4 linked regions of the Ovis aries genome follow. The protein of the gene in region 3 interacts with the protein of the main gene of each other region in a pairwise test. Links are inferred from orthologs where the notes say so. Each region holds a gene or a part of one and is shown on either strand. Other genes may lie near its edges.

Evidence for each region.
Region 1: the proteins of keratin-associated protein 10-12-like (region 3) and KLHL38 interact in binary tests that used the Homo sapiens proteins (3 or more experiments, as listed by UniProt). The two-hybrid records come from large-scale screens. The link is inferred for Ovis aries from reciprocal best matches to the Homo sapiens genes KRTAP10-7 and KLHL38.
Region 2: the proteins of keratin-associated protein 10-12-like (region 3) and ZBTB9 interact in binary tests that used the Homo sapiens proteins (3 or more experiments, as listed by UniProt). The two-hybrid records come from large-scale screens. The link is inferred for Ovis aries from reciprocal best matches to the Homo sapiens genes KRTAP10-7 and ZBTB9.
Region 4: the proteins of keratin-associated protein 10-12-like (region 3) and BUD31 interact in binary tests that used the Homo sapiens proteins (3 or more experiments, as listed by UniProt). The two-hybrid records come from large-scale screens. The link is inferred for Ovis aries from reciprocal best matches to the Homo sapiens genes KRTAP10-7 and BUD31.

Annotation. Positions count from the first base shown.
Region 1 is NC_056062.1:29,254,728-29,258,736, forward strand, and holds the start of KLHL38 (kelch-like protein 38), read left to right. Parts: upstream 1-1,203; 5' UTR 1,204-1,387; intron 1,388-1,850; 5' UTR 1,851-2,010; coding exon 2,011-3,438; intron 3,439-4,009.
Region 2 is NC_056073.1:7,781,650-7,785,815, forward strand, and holds the start of ZBTB9 (zinc finger and BTB domain-containing protein 9), read left to right. Parts: upstream 1-1,360; 5' UTR 1,361-1,502; exon of another isoform or gene 1,503-1,609; intron 1,610-1,789; exon of another isoform or gene 1,790-1,864; 5' UTR 1,865-1,870; coding exon 1,871-3,259; 3' UTR 3,260-4,166. UniProt on the Homo sapiens protein: May be involved in transcriptional regulation.
Region 3 is NC_056054.1:262,544,470-262,548,347, reverse strand, and holds keratin-associated protein 10-12-like, read right to left. Parts: upstream 2,557-3,878; 5' UTR 2,407-2,556; coding exon 1,507-2,406; 3' UTR 501-1,506; downstream 1-500. UniProt on the Homo sapiens protein: In the hair cortex, hair keratin intermediate filaments are embedded in an interfilamentous matrix, consisting of hair keratin-associated proteins (KRTAP), which are essential for the formation of a rigid and resistant hair shaft through their extensive disulfide bond cross-linking with abundant cysteine residues of hair keratins.
Region 4 is NC_056077.1:37,431,352-37,435,658, reverse strand, and holds the start of BUD31 (protein BUD31 homolog), read left to right. Parts: upstream 1-1,501; 5' UTR 1,502-1,746; intron 1,747-1,793; exon of another isoform or gene 1,794-1,890; 5' UTR 1,891-1,998; exon of another isoform or gene 1,999-2,027; intron 2,028-3,062; exon of another isoform or gene 3,063-3,182; intron 3,183-3,545; 5' UTR 3,546-3,573; coding exon 3,574-3,667; intron 3,668-4,307. Other genes in the region: PDAP1 (28 kDa heat- and acid-stable phosphoprotein), read right to left, coding at 1,390-1,402. UniProt on the Homo sapiens protein: Involved in the pre-mRNA splicing process. May play a role as regulator of AR transcriptional activity; may increase AR transcriptional activity.

The DNA of each region.
Region 1 (4,009 bases), on a different chromosome or scaffold from region 3:
CGGTGGGAGCCATTGAAGGGCATGATGCTGAGGGATGGGAAGATTCTGATTTGGCTTCTTGGGGGTGACTGTGGTGGTGACAGGGTGGATGTACTGGAGGGAGAGACAAGGAGCGAGGGTTAGGAGCAACTGTTGCAATAATCCCAGCAAGACTTGAGAAGGAGAGAAAGCCAGGCTTCCCTGCCATCATTCACTGCTGGTACCCTCAATCAGGACCTCCCTGGACGGAGAGGCAAGATAGATTCAGGGTCCCTTTAACTCACCCTGGCAGCTCTACAGCCCTCCAGAATGGCTCTAATTCTTATATTTGGAGATTGCATCCTACTCCATCACCATCAGCATTCTCCTTCTCTTCTTCCTCCCCCTCCTCTTTCTTCTCCTTCCTTTCATCCTCACTCACTCACTCACTCTCTCTCTCTCTCTCTCCTGCCCACACTCTGCTCCTGGAGCAACACAGTTTCCTCCTTCCTCTAGCTCAAGCCTCTCTGATGGGAAAAATTGGAAAAATAAAACAGAAAAGCAAGCCTGAAATATTTTTTTTTTAATGAACTGAAGAACAGTCAGCAGGGCTCTGGTGAGAAGCAGGTGTGACCCACAAGAGTACTGCCCCGGCCACTTTAAAACAGAAGCCCCTGTGATAAGGAGGATCCACAATGCTTTGGTCTCCCCCAAGTCTGGAAACCCTGGGGGTGCTCCACAAATATCTAAAACAATTTTCATCACAGAGACCATCACCTTGGAGCTTGGAGGAGGAACTCACAGCCCTTCTCCAACAATCCTGCCCGCAGACAGTAGGAAATAGAGACCAACTGAGCAATGCCCTTGGGCCCCCATGTTCTGGCTTCCCTGTGACCATCTGCCACCTTAAACTCACCCAGAACTATCTTCAGTGACTTTTCCCAGGTCACAGCAACCTGTTTACAGACATCTAGAATTCCCAGGCACTTTTAGGACAAGGCATTCAGGATGTGTCCAAGTGGGCAGCAAAGTCTTGTCTAAGAGAAGTTGTTCCTCCAAATCTATTTCTGCCCATGTAAACATCTGCCAAGGAAACAAGGCATGTGGGCATGCGCTGGGCCCACAGGCCCTCGGGTTGCTGCAAAAGGCAAATGGAAAGTCACATGTCATAACAGTGGAAAGTACATACGCAACTATTCTTAGCCCTGGAATGTATACACGGTCTCTCTGCCCAGCAGTTCTTTCACAAAGCTCTAGAAAACTGTGAAAGCGCCTTCAGCATAAACAAATCCAGAATTCTCCCAGGACAAATTATTTGCCAGCTTAAGGAAAGGCCTGGTTTTATGGTTTCACTTGGAGCCAGAGGTGGAAAGTCTCCGGAGGGACCAGCCGCGGCAGGTATCGATGGTTTTCACTGCAGGAAAACGAGGTAAATAGCTCTAATGTTTAATTCTTCTGCAGGTGAACGGGTGGCCAGATGTCATCCAATAAACCCTGCCCAGGGTACCGTCGGTCTCTGCTTTCTATTTATCTCATTTTAAAAACAAAAGCCACAAGACTCCGTGAGGTCATGTTTAAAAATAAAAACAAAACATTGCAAAGATCCATTTCCATCCCTCATTTCTGTCTCGATACCAGAGGCCACGCCCCCAGCATGACATCCGTGGGGAATGACTAACACCCGGAAAGATGTTTGGATGAGTTTACTAAGTAAGAGATATGCTGAGAATCCGGAGAAAAGTTCACAGACTTATGCTTCAAATGCACAGACTGTCATTTTGCTTCAAGCTAACGTTTTAGCCCCTGTAACCACTTACCACCTTCAACTCTCCCAACTTACCACCTGCTCTCTCTCTCTTCTAAATTTTTTTTCTTTTCTTTTCTTTTTTCAGATTGTCTGCAGATGCTATTTCTCTGTTACCTCTGAGAATAATCATAACCAAATAGAGAGATTTTCGCTGAGGCCCGTACACTAGGTGGTCCCATTTTCCAGTCTTCACTAAGGCGTATTCTTGGTGGTACCCACAAAGAGCTTAGTGAATGGACAGATAGATGTGCTGTAAGTCTCGGAGCCGCCACAGCTTAACCCTCCAGGACGACCTCCTTCTTGGGACTTCTCCCCGTCTTTACAGGATGGACATGGAGTCATCAGAGGGGCTCCTCTTCAAAGACCATGACTTCTCCTCTGACTTGCTGAGGCAGCTCAACGACTTGAGGCAAAATCGGATCCTGACCGACGTAAGCATCTGCGCCGGGGCCCGGGAGGTCCCCTGCCACCGCAACGTGCTGGCCTCCAGCAGTCCCTACTTCAGGGCCATGTTCTGCAGCAACTTCCGGGAGAGCCGAGAGGCCAAGGTCCAGCTGAAAGGCATCGATGCCTCGACTCTGGAGCGAATCGTCCTGTATGTGTACACGGGTGAGGCGCACATCACTGTGGAAAGTGTCCTGCCCCTGATGGAGGCCGCATCCATGCTGCAGTACCCCAAGCTGCTCGAGGCCTGCTCCTCCTTCCTCCAGAGCCAGCTGAGCCCCAGCAACTGCCTGGGCATGACTAGACTCTCTGAAATCTTCAGCTGTGAGACCCTCCGGAAGAAAGCCAGGGAGGTGGCCCTGACATATTTCCCAGAAGTGGCCGCGTCGGCTGACCTGAAGGAGCTCTGTGCCTTGGAACTGAGAGACTACCTGGGGGACGATGGGCTGTGTGGGGAGGAGGAGAAGGTGTTCGAGGCCCTCATGGTTTGGATCAAGCATGACCTCCAGACCCGGAAGCGATACGTGCAGGAACTGTTCAAGCAGGTCAGGCTGCAGTACGTCCACCCGGCCTTCTTCCACCACTTCATCGCCAACGACGCCCTCCTCCAGTCTTCGCCCCCCTGCCAGACCATCCTGGAGACCGCCAAGAGGCAGGTGTTTTCTCTGTACAGCACCGCTAGTTCTGCGGGCCTCCAACCTCTGTGGCATGTCCCGCCAAGAAACTCTTACCAAGACTTCCTCATCCTCTTGGGTGGAAGGAAGGACAACCAGCAGACCACCAGGGATGTCCTGCTGTACGACGGACAGACTGGCCGGTGGCAGAGCCTTGCCAAACTCCCGGCCCGCCTGTACAAGGCCTCAGCCGTCTCCTTGCACCGCGGCATCTACGTGCTGGGGGGCATGGCTGTGGGGAAGAGTGTGCCCAGTGCCAAGGTCTACGTCTTCTCCCTGAAACTGAATCAGTGGAGGCCAGGGCAGCCCATGCTGGCGGCCCGCTACTCCCACAGAAGCGCTGCCCACAAGAACTTCATCTTCTCCATCGGGGGGATTGGTGAGGGGCACGAGGTCATGGGCTCCATGGAGAGATATGACAGTGTCGGCAACGTCTGGGAGAGGATGGCCAGCATGCCAGTGGGGGTCCTCCACCCTGCGGTTGCTGTGAAAGACCAGAGACTCTACCTTTTTGGGGGAGAAGACATCATGCAGAATCCTGTGCGCCTTATCCAGGTAAACAGTACTTCCCACCATACAAGTGCACACACACACACACACACACACGTATGCATACATGTATCCAGGTAAATGGTTCTTCCCACTATGTCTACACACACCTACAAACAAGCACATTCATGCACACACACATATGTACAGATGCATGCATGACACATATGCTCACACGTGTGTGCACTGCATGCACACGCATGTATACATGTGTGCATGTGCAAACACATGTGTACATACACAGATACATGAATACACACATACCTATGCACATATATGCGTATTATACATGCTTGTTAGTTGCAAGGGAAGGATAAAGGAGGAAGGGAGGGAGGAAGGAAGGAAGTTTAATTTCAGCAAGATCTTATCCATTTATGAATTCTTTTGGGTAAGGTCAATACATACAAAGGTACATCAGATACCTCTAAAGGATCTAGCTGCTACTGCTACTGCTGCTAAGTCACTTCAGTCATGTCCGACTCTGTGTGACCCCATAGACAGCAGCCCACCAGGCTCCCCCCTCCCTGGGATTCTCCAGGCAAGAACACTGGAGTGGGCTGCCATTTCCTTCTCCAAT
Region 2 (4,166 bases), on a different chromosome or scaffold from region 3:
CCCTCTTCCCTGACTGCTGTCCTCTACCCAGCCTTGCCCCCTCATCCCTTCTTGCGTTTGGTATTGAGACTTCTCAGACTCCACCCTTCTTTCTTTTGTATGGACAGTTCCCCTTCAGTCCCATACCCCTACATACAGACACCCAGCCGGGGCCAAATTTATACTTATATAAAAGTTGTAAATATGTGAAATTTTATCCCTGTGCCCTTCCTTGCTTTCCCAACCTCAGACCCTACCCCTGGACCTCCTTTCCTCTCTTCTTTGGCTGTTGTAATTATCTGGGATTTGTACTGTACATATCCGGGGTGTGTGTGTGTGGGCTGGGGGCAACCCCTCTGTACAGCGCTTCCTGGCCCCCTCCCCACCACGATTCCCTCTCCCCCAATAAGGGTAGGGAGATGTTCTTCCTACCTGTTTTATTTTGTTTTCTCGTTCTCCCTCCCCACCCCACCCCACCCCCAGCCTACTCTCTCCCCCACCACTGCCCCTTCCACTCCCAGCCCCATTTCCTTTTTTTCTGGAGTGTGTGGTGAAACAGAAAAATCATGTTTAATAAACGGAGATTGTTCTTTTACCGCGGTGCTGACTTTCCTAGTCTCGGACCTCCCGGAGGATCAGCATGGTGACAGGAACTGCTTTTTGAGGAAGCTGACAGCTTGGGAGAAATTCTGTATCCTTGTGTGACGCCATAGTCTTGGCCCTAGAATATCGCTCTCCCAACTAGCAAGATTGTTTTGAGTAGGGGTTTTTGCACAGGCCAAATTTCCCCCATGTGTCTCACCATTGCGCCACTTAACCCCAAGAGAAAAGAGGTTAAGGAACAGCAGCAGTATCTGATAAAAAATAAGTGTACATCTACATGTCCCTTAAAAGTAATTACCTAGAAGAGAAGATTATTTCATTGTTGGTTAAAGTGCTCCCGTACGGAACGGAGGAAAGAACTTGGTGCCTCAGCCTTGTGGAGTCGGCCCCTGAGCCAGCACTTGCCGTCTCGGCTTCCCCTGAGGAAAGGATGGGAACTCCTACCTCGCTGGTGGCGGGTCGGGGGAGGGGGCGTGGGATAGAAGGTGATATGAACAATACCTAATACGCTAGGTGTCCTCTTAATCTCAGCACCCATCGGGGGCAGGCGTTACATTTAATCACTGGCACGGCTCACTGGTGGCACCCTCGGTACCGCCTGCGCATTCTCATCCCCTCTGCGGCCCCAGCCGGGTGTACTGCCTCCCGCCAGGACCGCCTTCTCGCCGGCATGACCAATCGACGTGAGGCTTGTAGGCCGGCGCCCTCCGATTGGCTGCCTCCCTGGCCCCGCCCAACTCCCCGGGGGTCCGCTTCCGGCGGGGAGGAGGCGGCTTCCGGCCGAGGCGGCGCGGTTGCTGCAGAGCCGCTCTGGACGCAGGACCGCGTGTGTACCCGTGGGGGCGTGGCGACAGGAAGGGCCAAGTGGCTGGCGCTCGCGGTCCCCGGGTACCTGCCAGGGAGTTGGACTCTGCGGGCACGTGAGTTGGGGAGCGGAACGGTGGGAAGAAGCCGACCGGGCCGGCGGGATCCGGCTCGCGGCTGAAGGACCTCCTCCTCGCCACAGGCCCTTCAAGTTCAATCCCCGGTTGGTGTTTTGTTGTGGTTTGTTTTCGTTTTCTTGGCGGGGGAGTGTGTGGGACTGTTCTGCCCGAACCACCGGCTACCGAAAAGTTCCACACGTTGGGGTGCAGCGGAGGCGGACGTTGCTTGGGGAGATACGATTGTCTTTATCCACAGCTTCTGTGACCCCTTCTTTCCTCCACAGCCCTCGTCGCGCAGGGGCTCTCCCCCGCCCTCTCACCTCCTGTACCCGACCCTCTGGGATCTCTTTCTTCCCCAGGAGGCCATGGATACCTCGACGCCTTTGCCTCCTGTAGCCCCCTCCCCAGCCTGCAACCCAGCCCCACGGACGATCCAGATCGAGTTCCCTCAGCACAGTTCTTTGCTGCTGGAGGCCCTGAACCGCCACAGGCTGGAGGGAAAGTTCTGTGACGTCTCTCTCCTGGTGCAGGGCCGCGAACTGAGGGCCCACAAAGCAGTGTTGGCCGCCGCTTCTCCTTACTTCCACGACAAACTACTTCTGGGGGATGCACCGCGTCTCACCCTACCCAGCGTTATCGAAGCCGATGCCTTCGAGGGGCTGCTCCAGCTCATTTATTCGGGGCACCTCCGTCTGCCCCTGGATGCTCTCCCTGCACACCTTCTTGTGGCCAGTGGCCTGCAGATGTGGCAAGTGGTAGATCAGTGCTCAGAGATCCTTAGAGAACTGGAAAACGCAGGTGGTGGGATTTCGTCCCGAGGAGTAGCCCCTTTCCACACACTTCTTTCCACCACAGGAGGCTGGTCCATCCGCTCTTCTCCTTTCCAGACCCCGGCACAGTCTTCTGCTTCTAACCAGAGCTCGATTGGAGGGGAGGGGAGTGAACTGGGAGATATATTACAGCTTCAGGTTGAAGAGGAAGATGAGGAAGAAGATGAGGAGGACCAAGGGTCAGCAGCACCCTGTCAGACTCCTCAGCCTCAGAGAGGATCAGGGAGTTTTCCTCCCCCTCCTGTATCCTACCCCCTGCCCACATCCACTATTCCTTGCAGAGTTCCAGAGGGCGAGAGTGCCCCACCTGAGCCTCCTGCTCCTCATACTGCATTGCCCCCCAAAATCTTCTACATCAAGCAGGAACCCTTTGAGTCCAAGGAGGAGATAGCTGGAGGCGGAAGTCAGTCTGTAGGAGCAAAGGAGGAGACCAAAGTGTTTCCAGCAGGGAACACTGAAGAGAATGGACAACTAGGGTTCCTGCTGCCCTCAGGAGCAGGGACAACATCTGGAGGAGGTGATCCATCCTGGAAACCAGTGGATCTTCATGGGAATGAAATCCTATCAGGGGGTGGGGGACCTGGGGGAGTAGGGCAGGCTGTGCATGGGCCTGTGAAGCTAGGTGGCGCTCCCCCTGCAGATGGAAAACGCTTTGGTTGTTTGTGTGGGAAACGCTTTGCAGTGAAGCCAAAGCGTGACCGGCACATCATGCTGACATTCAGCCTTCGACCCTTTGGCTGTGGCATCTGCAACAAGCGTTTCAAGCTGAAGCACCACCTGACAGAGCATATGAAGACGCATGCTGGAGCCCTACATGCCTGTCCTCACTGTGGTCGCCGGTTCAGAGTCCATGCCTGTTTCCTTCGCCATAGGGACCTCTGCAAGGGTCAGGGCTGGGCCACTGCTCACTGGACTTACAAGTGATTGCTAAGGCCATATGCTAACTTTCAGGACAAGGGAGCCACTACTGCTGATGGATACTTATTACCGCTCACTACCACAGTACCCTAATCCTGTATCTTGATGTTGGTGTTGGTGGTTTTTTCTTGGCCATACCTCGTAGCATGCCACCAGGGATTGAACCTGCACCCCTGCAGTAGACAGTGCAGAGTCCTAACCACTGGACTAGCAGCAACGTCATATCTTGTTAGTTATTCCACAAGGATAGATATATTATGGATCTCTTCTTGGATGTGGGCCTCAACCTGACAGATTTGAAAACTTGATTTCTCATCTCCAGGTTTTTGCTAACTATCCTCCGGGAGACTGGTTTACAGGCCCTAGATATACTGATCAGTTGCCTGTAATCGATCCTTTCATACAGGAAACTGGATTAAATTTCAGATTAGAAGTTTTATTTGATGAGAGAGGAGTTAGAGCAAGAAAAATTATGATAAATGTTTAATTCAGTCTCTATGAGAAGTTAAGGGAGCTGGTCTCCATCTAGAGATGTGTTTGATTCAGAGTTCTAGTAATCCAGAGACTAAGCTCTAAGCTTTACTTTTCCCTCATCATTGCTGAAATTTTATGAGTAAAGGTCTTATATACTTTTCTTTTGTTATGATTTTCTGGAAACCCTTCAGTCTATAAATTACTTTCTCACCAGTAGGTACTTTTTCAACACCTTTATTTTGTATGTTGTAGTTGAGCGCTTTAACAAATTGAGAATTCCATGAGTCACTTAGAACCCTCTTTAATAGAGGTATTCCCTCCACAGTCTGTGCCTCTTGTCTACCTTTGACCACCACTTATCACTCATATTGATCACAGGGACTGAAGTGTGATCAGTGAACTCAGGAGATGGCCATTGACCTAAAAATAAAATACTCTC
Region 3 (3,878 bases):
TCGTGAAGACCTTTTTTGCATAGTCCTTCTGTGTATTCTTGCCACCTCTTCTTAATATCTCCTGCTTCTGTTAGGTCCATACCATTTCTGTCCTTTATTGAGCCCATCTTTGCATGAAATGTTCCCTTAGTATCTCTAATTTTCTTGAAGAGACCTCTGGTCTTTCTCATTCTATTGTTTTCCTCTTTTTCTTTGCACTGATCACTGAGGAAGGCTTTCTTATCTCTCCTTTTATTCTTTGGAACTCTGCATCCAAATGGGTATATCTTTCCTTTTCTCCTTTGCCTTTGATCACTTGACAGTGATTAAGACCATCCCCAACCAAAAGAAATGCAAAAAGGCAAAAATGGTTATCTGAGGAGACTTTACAAATAGGTGAGAAAAGAAAAGAAGCTAAAGGCAAAGGAGAAAAATGGTACTTGTCTTGAGTAAACTCAGGAAAGAGATTTACGAGTTGAGGCAGGACACCTGTTTACCAGTCCTCTTAGGGTTTTGCTCCATTCCCTCTTTCCTGGATGGAACTGAGCTGGGGTGGGGATAGTATCCCCTGGGGAGATGCCTTCAGTTCCTGGTCCCTCTTGCCCCAGCCACCACTGTTCTCCTGCTCCTATGGGCCTCATCAGTCTGTTTCTGGTGGGGGATAAGTAGTTGACTGGTGCTGACTGGTGCCCACTTCCTCTATTGCTAATGTCCACTAAGACTGCAGGCTCTTTCTCCCCTACTGTCCTGAGGGTTTGTTCACAAGGCGTCTCTTTTGTTCTGTCCCTCCTCGGTCAGGCTTTGAAACCTTGAGTAGAATGAGTGATGTCTAAATTGACACTGCACCCCCTTGGAGCCCCCAGAATCTCCTCCTCAGTGTTGGCACGTCTCTCCAACAGCACTTACCCTGGACTCTCCGATCCAGACCCAGGAGGGTTTCTGCTGCTCCCCAAGTCACCCTCAACCTGCATGGGCAGGGGGAGGAACCCAGGGCCCACTCAGGATCTGAGCCTTCTGCACCCACACCCGCCTCCATGTCAGCCTTGAAGGGCCGTCCACTGCAGGGAGAGTGAGCCTGGGGTAGGAAGGGACATAGAATGTGTGAATGGCACCAGCTTTCAGATCCTGTTGTTTCTCAGCTGCTTTGAACTCGGATGGGAGAATGTGTCTTTACTGCCTGGCTTCTGCCAGCAGAGCACCTACAGGCCATATTTGGAGGGGCTGAGGGGGCCCAAGGGAGGAGGCCAAAACAGACATGGGTCCATATTTCCTGACACAAACGCTTTATTCATTAGAGCAGCTGATGTTTGTCATATGGGATTCAAGCAGCCTGTCCTGCAGAGGAGGCTCCTGGGGCCCCACAGTCCACCCTGTCAAGGGCTTTCTGAGATGCCTGCCAAGTTCGAATCCTCTCTGGGCAGCAGCTGCGTGTCCAACTTTGGGAGAGGGGAGGTCCTGGCGCCAGCAGAGGGGCTCCTGGAGCTTGGGAGAGAGACAGCAGCTTGTGGAGGGCGGGTGATTGGCCGGTCAGCAGCAGAGCTCCGGGGCTGAGGTGGGGATGCCGCAGGCCAGGCGGGAGCATGCAGGCCGGCAGAGCAGGGACACAGAGGAGGCTGGGCGGCAGCAGCTTGGCTGGCAGGAGGAGGTGGGCACACAGCAGGCGAGGCGGCACGCAGGGCGGCAGAGGAGGGACACAGAGGAGGCCGGGCGGCAGAAGCTGGGCTTGCAAGAGGAGGCGGGCACACAGCAGGTGGGGCCGCACACGGGGCGGCACACAGGACGGCAGAGGAGGGACACGGAAGAGGAGGGTCTGCAGCAGGATGAGGGGGCTGAGCAGGGGGAGGTCTCACAGCACACGGGCCTGCAGCAAACAGGTGTACAGCAGACAGGCCTGCAGCAGACGGGCTCACAGCAGGCCTGCTGGCAGCAGGAGGAGGTGCAGCAGGAGGGCTGGCAGCTGGACTGCTGGCAACATGAGGAGGTTGAGAAGGGGGAGGCCTCACAGCAGACAGGCCTGCAGCAGACAGGTGTGCAGCAGACAGGTGTACAGCAGACAGGCCTGCAGCAGACGGGCCTGCAGCAGACAGGCTCACAGCAGACAGGTTCACAGCAGGCCTGCTGGCAGCGGGAGGAGGTGCAGCAGGAGGACTGGCAGCTGGACTGCTGGCCACATGAGGCTGGGCAGGAGCTGCTGCAGGCTGGCTGGCAGCAGGGGCTGGACTCACAACTCACTGGGGCGCAGAGGAGGGTCAGGCGGGGGGCCGAGGTGCAGCAGCTGGGGGCACAGCAGGGGGGCTCGCAGCAGCTCTCTGGACAGTCATCCACCTGCCAGGAGGAGCCGGTGCAGGAGTCACAGGATCCAGGCAGGCAGATCCGGCTGCTGTAGCTCAGGTCGCTGGAGCAAGCAGACAGGTTAGAGAAGGCCATGGTGGAGGTGGTACGGCTGGAGGAGGTGTAAGTGTGTGTGAGTGTGTGAGTGAAGTGCTGAGGGTGTCTGCTTTTATACCCGCCCTGAGTATGCGCGTGGCCCTGGTCGGAGGCTCCCACGCTCTCCCTTCCTTGTTGCTGTTTGGAGCTGACCCTCATTAGGGCTGCTGTGTTTTCTACAATTAGCTTTTACTCATTAAACATGTGAGTACGTTGCAAGAGTCTGTTTTCCCATCTGTTCTTTGTTTGGCTCCAGAAAACTTGTGGAGGATGCAAGACGCAAGTTTCTGCTGAATGCCTGCCAGGGTTCTTAAGTCACGTTCACGGAGGGAGGGGCTGAGCGTGAGACAAGTTCCCAGCCACTGCAGCCGCTCCCACTTCACGCCAGCCTTGACAGTGTGAGAATACATAGGGAAAGATGCCTAGCTTTACCGCAGCCCAAACTATACCTAAGAGCATTACTAAGAAGATAAGTTGCGAGCGAAATAGAAAACTTGACCAAAGAACACACACAACATATATCCACTGGGACCCGAGAGGTGTAAGCAAGAAACTCAGAGCTATAGACTGAATTACCACTCTTTCTGGATCAATCCATCCCTGATGTAACTTCAATCAGAACCCAAAAGAAATATTTTTGGCATATAAAGTGAAGATATTGAACTGCTAGAAAATATTTGCAATGTAAAAGTTGAAAGCCTTTACAACTAAAGCAGGATATGATACAATAGAATCAAACACAAGCACACAGTCCATTCAAATTTCCAATCAACATTTGAAAAGCTACTGGATATCACTGATAATTAAAAGGCTCTAAATTAAAACACAAATATCCCACCTGCAAGATCAGCCAAGATTTACAACACTGGTAACACCCAGTGCTGCACAGTCTGAGGTCCTCACTCTTCTTTAAAAATTAGTTAACTTTTCGCTGAGCTGGGTCTTTGTTGCTACATGTAGGCTTTCCCTGGTTGTGGCAAACGGGGCTTACTTTTTGTTGCAGTGGGCAGGCTGCTCTTGGCAATGGCTTATCTTATTGAGGAGCACTGGCTTTAGGACATATGGGCTTTGGTAGTTGTGGCACGTGGGCTAGTCCCAGACCAGGGATTAAATTTATGTTCTTTGCATTGGCAAGTGGATTGTTAACCACTGGATCACCAGGGAAGCTCTAGGGGCCTCCCTGTTAGAAATCCTTAACAGGTACGTTTTTTTTTTTATTACATGTAACAAATAATATAAAATTAACCATTTTAAAGTGTTCGATTCAGGGACATTTAGTACAGTCACAACACTGTACAACTATGACCACTATCTAGTCCCGGGACATTCCCAAAAGGAAATCTTGTAGTATTGGGTAGACCCTCCCCAGTCCCTGTCAAGCACCGCTCTGCTTTCTGTCTCTATGACTTTGGCTGTTCTGCTCATTTCATGTAAAAGGAATCACACAATAGGTGGCCTTTTGTGTCTGACTC
Region 4 (4,307 bases), on a different chromosome or scaffold from region 3:
AATTGTAACCGCCAACCTTGGCTCAAAGCACCTATTAAGTAGGACTCTTAGAATTCTGGCACCAGAAGTGAAAGTTGCTCAGTCGTGTCTGACTCTTTGCGACCCCATGTACTACACAGTCCATGGAATTCTCCAGGCCAGAACACTGGAGTGGGTAGCTTTTCCCTTCTCCAGAGACTCTTCTCAACCCAGGGATCGAACTCAGGTTGGTACCCCTAATACCCCTCCTTTTGCAGAACATAAGACTGAGAGACACAGAGGAGACAAAGCTCTTCCTACCACAGAATAAACCACTAGAAAATTATGTTTAGAGATTCAGCTCTGAAAACCCCAGCATCTCTGGGAGCAGAGTCAGGAAGTCGTTTAGGTTTGAAAAAGCTCCAAGCAGATCTTCCTGTGGGCTGAGACCCTTAACCAACATGTCACAGGAGAGACCAATATTAACTGAACACCTCTTCTGCGCCAGGAGTAGCCAGGCACGGCGAGGGCGCTATGTATTTACGACCCCGATCCCAACTCTCCAGGCTAAGGGTTATTAGCTAGGTGTTCCAGATGGGGAAAACAGGCTGGGAGAACTTGTTCAAGGCCATAAGGCTAGACAGTGACACAGCTGGGCTTCAAGTTAGGCACTCTTGACTCAGGGGTAAGAGGGTGGAGGACGGTGTACAAACGTACCGGGGAAGCCATGGATTCTTTACTTTCTTGACCAAGGAACTGGCAAAGTCTTAGGAGCAACAATAGATAATGCTTACTGGACACTTAGCGACTATCAGCACCATACAGCGCCCTCCACGTGGATCACCTACTTCAAGACTCGCCATCAGTATTATGAGGTAGATACAATCATACGCCTATACTTGCAAAAACACAGGGAGGTTATGCGGCTGGCTCAAAGGCCCACGTCTAGCCGCTCGAAAAGGGCAGTCAAAGCTAGGTCGGCCAGGCTCGAGAGCATCCAGCTAGGTCGCCAGAGGCAAGCCTAGCTCGCCCAGAGCCCGAGAAGGCCCACGTATTACGCGCGAGGCAGGCGGGCCCGGCTCTGGCGCGGGACGCGGTGACTCAGTGCCCGGCGAGCCTGAAAGGGGTAGGAAACTCCAGACCCCACCCCCCAGGCCGAGAGAAGCGCGCCCTAGACAGGCCATCCGGGTGGGCGAGGACCCGGCGCCTCCAAATCTCCTCAGACCCCCAGGGAGCGGCTCGAGGCCACCACTACGGTCCTCGGTTTCTCCAGCGGGACAATTGAGCGTCGAGGCCCAGGCCGGGCCCTCAGCCGGAGCGGACGTCCTCCCTCCGAGTCGCTCTCTGAGGCGCCCGCGGGCTGACTGGACGGCGGGAGCCGGACTCGGGCCGCTCCTCGAGGCCCGCGGGCGACACGCGCCCGCCCCTCACCTCCTTTAGGCATCGCGGCTCCGGCGGCTGCGGCGGCGGCGCCTCGAGCTGACACCGGAACCGGAAACTTCTCGGGCTCGACTTCTTCCGCCCGGCCAGTTTCCCGCCCCCCGGCCCCGCCACCCGGCCGCCTCTCAGCGCGCCGCCGCCGCCGCGAGAACCGCGGCCCTCAGGGAGGCCGGGCGGTCCCACGCGCCGCCTGAGCCCAGGCTCGCCCGCGCGCTGCTGGGCAACAGAGCCCCTCCCAACCCCGCCGTGGGAGGCGCGTGAGCCTGCCAGCCCACGCCGCCGGGCAGTGCGGACGAAAGGAGAGCGCGGCGCCGGAATTGTGCGCAGGCAGGGCTGCGGACACCTAAGGTAACGCAATCGCCGCGCTCCGTGGGGCGGGGCTCCGCGAGGACCTCATCGTGAAGAGATACTTGGGGAAGCTGAGGCGGTGGATACGGAAGGGACGTTGCACCGCGACGGAGGCCTAGTGAGTGTTTCCCTTCTCTTCTCTAGGACCTTGGTAACGGCTGGGGACCAGGGGTCGGACGTCTGCGTTGGCCCAGAAGGCGATCTGAACACCCGAACTGGGACAGGTTCGGGCCTCTGGACCCGAAGGTCGAAGTGAGTTCCCGAGACTAGGCGGCGTCTTGGTGGGTCCGCGGAGGGCATGGGAAATTTGGGGGTTCCCTTGCTTCTAGGTTTCCCCGCCCTTATTTTTCGCTCATTTCCCCCTCGCCTAGAACGTTTGTTGTCTAAATAGTGCTTTTCCTTGTCATCCCGGTTCAGATGCCGTAGTCTCCATGAGCCTTACAACCCGGGTTGTAGCCGTCTTCACTCAGCTTCTTCCGAACGCCTTTCGGCTCTCCGCCCCTCCCGAGCGCTACCACCTTTCTAACACCGCCCCACATCTCTTTCTTCCTGACCAGGTTGCTTCTTAGCTGTTACCTCCCATGGGAGGCCTCCACCAACTCCCAAGCTGGGCCAGGCCCTCAACTCTCCGTGGGTCTTAGTTAGCAGAGTGGTCATTCCGTCGTCTTTGTCCACCCAGCCCGTGCTCCTTGAGACAGGGACCAGATTCCATTCGTCTCTAGCTTCAGAGCAGGGGAGACAAGTGTAAAGACAGATTGGGGCGTCAGGAGCCCCCGATGAGTCAAACTCTGCCGGTTCCCAGCTCTGGGCGACCCTGAGTTTGATCTTCTGTAAGGTGGTTGCTGAGAATTCACTTGATGCGGCGAAGAGGGCGGGGCTTCGTAAACATATCGGGAGGGAGGAACTGAATGAACGTGGGAAAGGAGGAGTCTGCTCTGCTTAAAGATAATTAACAGGAGTTCTCTTTTAGTGTATTTTTTAAAATATTCTGAAAATATTTATTTGACTGCACCGGGTCTTCGTTGAGGCATGCAAACTCTTAATTGCGGCATGTGGGAACTAGTTCCCTGACCAGGGATGGGACCCAGGCCCCCTGCGTTGGGAGCTCAGAGTCTTAGCAACTGGACCACCAGGGAAGTCCCACCCTGAGTTCTCTTTGCTGGCTACGAAATGCCTTGCGGTTTGAAAAATGACTTGCTATGTAGATCTGGGCTGGTCTTTTCTTTGGGGTTTACATGACTTCCTTTATATAGTATGTTTGTTGGGTTTAAAAGAGACCTTGGCAATCCAGTTAATACACTGTCCTCACTTTATAGACAAGATTGAGGACCAGAAAGGGAATGTGACCTCTCCAAAGTCATAGCTGGACAAGAATCCGAGCCTGTAACTGAAGAGACCTGAGATCTTTCTGTTACTCTTGGGAAACAGGCCCTAAGGTACTTTGGTCTCACTCTTCTTCCTGTCTAAACGCTCGGCGTTGCTCTCCCAGCCAGCCTCCCTCACACTGTGTTGTGCTTCCCTTTCTACGCTGCATTTCCCTGCTGGAATATCACCTTCTCGGGGACAGTGTGTGTCTTATTCTTCGTATGATAATAGCAAAACTCTACCAAGCACACCTTAAATACCAGGCACGTTACATGTAATCAGGCCCCACATGGCTCCTTAAGTAGATTCTCCCCGTTACACAGATGAGGAAACAGACTTACAGATATGAATGTGCACCAGAGTTGTGGCTTGTGAAGTCCTCTGGGGATCCTGAGGCTCAGAAGCCAATTCATTTTAATTTTTTTTCCCCACAGATTTTTGCAGACTATCTTCTGGGAAAAAATGCCTAAAGTCAAAAGAAGCCGGAAAGCTCCCCCAGATGGTTGGGAGTTGATCGAGCCAACACTGGATGAATTAGATCAAAAAATGAGAGAAGGTGAGTTGGGGAGTTCCTGTCTCGGTGGGCTGTGTCCCAAGGATAAATGGGAGGAGACAGGCTGCACCACCGAGGCCGCCTGACACTGACATGTTCTGTTTGCTTTTTAACTGATAAGTGAAGTTGCTCTGTCGTGTCCAACTCTTGGCAACCCCATGGACTGTAGCCTACCAGGCTCCTCTGTCCGTGGGATTTTCCAGGCAATAGTACTGGAGTGGATTGCCATTTCCTTTTCCAGGGGATCTTCCCAACCCAGGGATTGAACCCAAGTCTCCTGCATTGTAGACCGACGCTTTACCGTCTGAGCCACCAGGGAATAACTGATAGGAATACCATAAATGCCAGAAAGTAAGATAATACAAATGAGAAGGTCCTCAAAAATGTTTTTGAGTATATAAGACCTTTAGGGAGTATAGGTCAAATAGTCTACTTAGAATTATTTACTGGTAGAAGTATATTTAAAATCATACGAACTATATTTACTTGGAAAATCCTGTTCTTTTTCACTCCGGATTTTCTGAAGTGTGTGTGTTTGGCCTTTGCTGTGGGTCTGTCTTCACGCGCTTTGCTCTGCGTCCTCTGCCAGTTGTCCGGAGTGCACAGTCTTCCCTTCCCCCGTGTTAGGTGGTCCTGCACTCTG